2 linked regions of the Saccharomyces cerevisiae S288C genome follow. The protein of the gene in region 2 purifies or fractionates together with the protein of the main gene of each other region. This does not show direct contact. Each region holds a gene or a part of one and is shown on either strand. Other genes may lie near its edges.

Region 1 (2,923 bases), on a different chromosome or scaffold from region 2:
GCCTATATCCTCGAGGAGACACTTCCAGTATATTCTGTATACATAATATAACAGCCTTTATCAACATTGGAATCCCAACAATTATCTCAAAATTCACCAACCTCTCATGGCGCATATTCATCATGCATGTAACTACCACATCAATGTTCAATCATGGACTTTTAACTAATCTTAAGTACTATTCGAACTGCCCATTCAGCTTTTCCCTTTGCAATTGGTGCACTCCTACTTGAACGAATTCGCGGGGTGTACATTAAACTACGATGTAAACATCAAGGTTATTGCTATAACATGTCATGTCACCATTAATTACCACTCATTCCAACATACTGTCCCTGACGAAAACTGTTTATGCGAGCGCAAAATGAACCTATTCAATTAATAATACTCCTCAAATTGCTACCACGACAGGCTGAAAAAAGATGTCGACGAATAATGTAATCGTGTCAAACAAACGTTATCTTGACTATATATAGCTACTTAATTTGAAATAATAAACTATACAAGTCTATATCATTGATATATTCAGTAAGAAAAATGGAGGGAAAAAGAAATCATCAAATCATTCATTCTTCAGACTTATTTCTTACCTTGGTTGGCAACAGCAGCGGCACCAGCAGCGGCAGCTTCTGGGTCCAAGTAGTAAGATGGCTTAGATGGCTTCAAGTTTTCGTCCAATTCGAAGACCAATGGAATACCAGTTGGGATGTTCAACTTAGCAATGTCAGCATCAGAGATACCTTCCAAGTGCTTAACCAAACCTCTCAAGGAGTTACCGTGAGCGGCGATCATGACGGTCTTACCACTCAACAAGTCCTTGGCAATGACATCTTGCCAGTATGGCAACAATCTGTCAATGACCAAAGCCAAAGATTCAGTTTCTGGCAAGACATTTGGGTCAACGTACTTGTATCTTTCATCACCCTTTTGAGAGAATGGAGAAGAAGCGTCGATTGGGGGAGGTGGAACATCGAAGGATCTTCTGTAGGTGTTGAATTTTTCTTCACCGAACTTCTTCAAAGTTTCAGCCTTGTCCTTACCTTGTAAGTCACCGTAATGTCTTTCGTTCAATCTCCAGGATCTGTTGACTGGAATCCATAATCTGTCAGCCTTTTCCAAAGCAATGTTAGCAGTTTGGATAGCTCTGGACAACTTGGAAGTGTACAAGACGTCTGGGTAGACCTTCTTTTCCTTCAACAATTCACCGGCTCTAGCGGCTTCTTGTTGACCCTTGGCAGACAATTTAACATCAACCCAACCGGTGAATAAGTTCTTTTCGTTCCATTCGGATTGACCGTGTCTAACTAAAACTAACTTTGGCATTATTGTAATATGTGTGTTTGTTTGGATTATTAAGAAGAATAATTACAAAAAAAATTACAAAGGAAGGTAATTACAACAGAATTAAGAAAGGACAAGAAGGAGGAAGAGAATCAGTTCATTATTTCTTCTTTGTTATATAACAAACCCAAGTAGCGATTTGGCCATACATTAAAAGTTGAGAACCACCCTCCCTGGCAACAGCCACAACTCGTTACCATTGTTCATCACGATCATGAAACTCGCTGTCAGCTGAAATTTCACCTCAGTGGATCTCTCTTTTTATTCTTCATCGTTCCACTAACCTTTTTCCATCAGCTGGCAGGGAACGGAAAGTGGAATCCCATTTAGCGAGCTTCCTCTTTTCTTCAAGAAAAGACGAAGCTTGTGTGTGGGTGCGCGCGCTAGTATCTTTCCACATTAAGAAATATACCATAAAGGTTACTTAGACATCACTATGGCTATATATATATATATATATATATATATATATATATGTAACTTAGCACCATCGCGCGTGCATCACTGCATGTGTTAACCGAAAAGTTTGGCGAACACTTCACCGACACGGTCATTTAGATCTGTCGTCTGCATTGCACGTCCCTTAGCCTTAAATCCTAGGCGGGAGCATTCTCGTGTAATTGTGCAGCCTGCGTAGCAACTCAACATAGCGTAGTCTACCCAGTTTTTCAAGGGTTTATCGTTAGAAGATTCTCCCTTTTCTTCCTGCTCACAAATCTTAAAGTCATACATTGCACGACTAAATGCAAGCATGCATGATATAGCTCCTGTCAAAGTATCACCTTGGCCTCCTACCCTCTTGTTGCTGCCCTCTTCGCTGTTCGTCAACATGTCTTTTTCACTATCGGGTGAGAATATCTTATCTGACTGACCTTTCTCCACCACAATACAATTCAATTCCTGGGCGATCAAGCTGCCCATCTCGGAGTGAGAGTCTCCCTTCTTGCCTATGGCATCACATAGTCTTTTGAATTCTACCACATTGGGCGTCAAGATCACTCTACCTTTGGGGTAGCTTTTCAGCATTTCTTTGACTTCGCTATCTTGAGTTACTAAGAACAGTCCATCAGCATCAATTACTAACGGGATCTTGCCCTCATGTTTTTCAAGTATATATCTTATGATATCCTTAATGGATTTTAACATTAGGGGGTCCCTACCCAAGCCGGGTCCAATTACCACAACGTGGATTCTATCCAATAAGGAATTGATTTTCTTCCTTTGTTCGTCCATATCAACGTCTAATTTGGTGTTACTCATACGAAGGTATGGATGAACCATTAGGTTTGGGGTGTACGATTTAATGACCGTACCAGCGTTGTATTCGCAGATGACATGTGTCAAATCACAGCCCATCAAGGCTGTAGCATTGGCGCTGAAATACGGTGCCCCTGTATAATCTTCGCATCCTCCAATAATGCAAACTCTCCCACCAGACTGTCCCTTATGAAACTTTGGCAATAAAGGTGGTATACATCTTTTCTGCGCCAACTTTATCAATTCTCTATGAGACAATTCTGCTAACATTTCCAGTGATACGGTAGTGATCGTATTGAACTGGTGTTGCTAATAAAATTTCACC
Region 2 (3,254 bases):
CTAGGAGTCAAGTTCCATACTAAAATGTCCGAAGATTGCGCTTCAGATAACAATTCATTCTTCTTTAACGCATCTCTAGCAATCAAGTCTTGTAGAATACCACCGTGAGGAGCAGGCATGTTAATTATACTTTATTCTTGTTATTATTATACTTTCTTAGTTCCTTTTCAATTGTTAAGAAACGATATCACAACTGTTACGACAGAGAGAGACCCAAGCTAGAGATCACAAGCTAAAAAAGAACCAAGTTTACATATATATATATATATATATATATATATATATATATATCCATATTCATATTTCTCGAGAAAGAGCCTCTATTTCTCATTGGTAAGTAACTTCATAAGAGACTAAGTTGTAAAACTGTGGCTTTGTTATACGGTGATTTCCTTTGGAGGTTGCTAAGGTTTATGGTGTTGAGTGCAGTGTGCACGACAGGGACCGCTAGAATGCGGTGAGTTACAAAATTACACGTGACTTTTCTGGTCACGTGACCTTTTTTTCTGTCAGCAATCCGTAGGATGCGCGTTGGCGCTACAAGTGTGTCATATCTGTACTATATTTGTACACTTATATGTAGTTGTGACAAAAGTCTCTGTTAGTACTAAATTAAACGATGTTATATCTGTGGACCCCCTCACCTTATACCACTACGTACATATCGTTGGAAAATCTAGATCAGAGGGTGGTAAATGAAGTGTAATAGTATTCATTTTTCTTATAAATCATCCCTTCCGTGATTTATACAAAAGAAGAGGAGAATATGCTGAATACTTGGTATATTACTCTACATTATACTCTTATCTTGACGGGTATTCTGAGCATCTTACTCAGTTTCAAGATCTTTTAATGTCCAAAAACATTTGAGCCGATCTAAATACTTCTGTGTTTTCATTAATTTATAAATTGTACTCTTTTAAGACATGGAAAGTACCAACATCGGTTGAAACAGTTTTTCATTTACTTATGGTTTATTGGTTTTTCCAGTGAATGATTATTTGTCGTTACCCTTTCGTAAAAGTTCAAACACGTTTTTAAGTATTGTTTAGTTGCTCTTTCGACATATATGATTATCCCTGCGCGGCTAAAGTTAAGGATGCAAAAAACATAAGACAACTGAAGTTAATTTACGTCAATTAAGTTTTCCAGGGTAATGATGTTTTGGGCTTCCACTAATTCAATAAGTATGTCATGAAATACGTTGTGAAGAGCATCCAGAAATAATGAAAAGAAACAACGAAACTGGGTCGGCCTGTTGTTTCTTTTCTTTACCACGTGATCTGCGGCATTTACAGGAAGTCGCGCGTTTTGCGCAGTTGTTGCAACGCAGCTACGGCTAACAAAGCCTAGTGGAACTCGACTGATGTGTTAGGGCCTAAAACTGGTGGTGACAGCTGAAGTGAACTATTCAATCCAATCATGTCATGGCTGTCACAAAGACCTTGCGGACCGCACGTACGAACACATACGTATGCTAATATGTGTTTTGATAGTACCCAGTGATCGCAGACCTGCAATTTTTTTGTAGGTTTGGAAGAATATATAAAGGTTGCACTCATTCAAGATAGTTTTTTTCTTGTGTGTCTATTCATTTTATTATTGTTTGTTTAAATGTTAAAAAAACCAAGAACTTAGTTTCAAATTAAATTCATCACACAAACAAACAAAACAAAATGGTTAGAGTTGCTATTAACGGTTTCGGTAGAATCGGTAGATTGGTTATGAGAATTGCTTTGCAAAGAAAGAACGTCGAAGTTGTTGCTTTGAACGATCCTTTCATCTCTAACGACTACTCCGCTTACATGTTCAAGTACGACTCTACTCACGGTAGATACGCTGGTGAAGTTTCCCACGATGACAAGCACATCATCGTTGATGGTCACAAGATCGCCACTTTCCAAGAAAGAGACCCAGCTAACTTGCCATGGGCTTCTCTAAACATTGACATCGCCATTGACTCCACTGGTGTTTTCAAGGAATTGGACACTGCTCAAAAGCACATTGACGCTGGTGCCAAGAAGGTTGTCATCACTGCTCCATCTTCCACCGCCCCAATGTTCGTCATGGGTGTTAACGAAGAAAAATACACTTCTGACTTGAAGATTGTTTCCAACGCTTCTTGTACCACCAACTGTTTGGCTCCATTGGCCAAGGTTATCAACGATGCTTTCGGTATTGAAGAAGGTTTGATGACCACTGTTCACTCCATGACCGCCACCCAAAAGACTGTTGACGGTCCATCCCACAAGGACTGGAGAGGTGGTAGAACCGCTTCCGGTAACATCATCCCATCCTCTACCGGTGCTGCTAAGGCTGTCGGTAAGGTCTTGCCAGAATTGCAAGGTAAGTTGACCGGTATGGCTTTCAGAGTCCCAACCGTCGATGTTTCCGTTGTTGACTTGACTGTCAAGTTGAACAAGGAAACCACCTACGATGAAATCAAGAAGGTTGTCAAGGCTGCCGCTGAAGGTAAGTTGAAGGGTGTCTTGGGTTACACTGAAGACGCTGTTGTCTCCTCTGACTTCTTGGGTGACTCTAACTCTTCCATCTTCGATGCTGCCGCTGGTATCCAATTGTCTCCAAAGTTCGTCAAGTTGGTTTCCTGGTACGACAACGAATACGGTTACTCTACCAGAGTTGTCGACTTGGTTGAACACGTTGCCAAGGCTTAAATTTAACTCCTTAAGTTACTTTAATGATTTAGTTTTTATTATTAATAATTCATGCTCATGACATCTCATATACACGTTTATAAAACTTAAATAGATTGAAAATGTATTAAAGATTCCTCAGGGATTCGATTTTTTTGGAAGTTTTTGTTTTTTTTTCCTTGAGATGCTGTAGTATTTGGGAACAATTATACAATCGAAAGATATATGCTTACATTCGACCGTTTTAGCCGTGATCATTATCCTATAGTAACATAACCTGAAGCATAACTGACACTACTATCATCAATACTTGTCACATGAGAACTCTGTGAATAATTAGGCCACTGAAATTTGATGCCTGAAGGACCGGCATCACGGATTTTCGATAAAGCACTTAGTATCACACTAATTGGCTTTTCGCCGCATATGGTGTTTCCGGTGATTTCCAAGTATTGTTTCCAAGCATCGTACCTTTCACCATTTGGAGTATCACTTAGCGTTTTCATCGCATATCTGTCCATTATTTCAATGGATTGCCAAATGGGAACTTGATGATGTGAAAGTTTACTCCTAGCAGTTAACATTTCCACTTCTGTTTCC

What was found. Proteins that work in one complex are often made in the same cells at the same time.
Region 1: the proteins of TDH2 (region 2) and GPM1 purify together in Saccharomyces cerevisiae (affinity purification with mass spectrometry; 2 studies listed by BioGRID, with this or other methods). This does not show direct contact.

Annotation. Positions count from the first base shown.
Region 1 is NC_001143.9:163,063-165,985, forward strand, and holds GPM1 (phosphoglycerate mutase GPM1), read right to left. Parts: upstream 1,324-2,923; coding exon 580-1,323; downstream 1-579. Other genes in the region: NNR2 (NADHX dehydratase), read right to left, coding at 1,855-2,868. UniProt on the Saccharomyces cerevisiae protein: Interconversion of 3- and 2-phosphoglycerate with 2,3-bisphosphoglycerate as the primer of the reaction. Can also catalyze the reaction of EC 5.4.2.4 (synthase), but with a reduced activity.
Region 2 is NC_001142.9:453,104-456,357, reverse strand, and holds TDH2 (glyceraldehyde-3-phosphate dehydrogenase (phosphorylating) TDH2), read left to right. Parts: upstream 1-1,676; coding exon 1,677-2,675; downstream 2,676-3,254. Other genes in the region: MET3 (sulfate adenylyltransferase), read right to left, coding at 1-119; MHO1 (Mho1p), read right to left, coding at 2,912-3,254. UniProt on the Saccharomyces cerevisiae protein: Glyceraldehyde-3-phosphate dehydrogenase (GAPDH) involved in glycolysis and gluconeogenesis. Catalyzes the reaction of glyceraldehyde-3-phosphate to 1,3 bis-phosphoglycerate.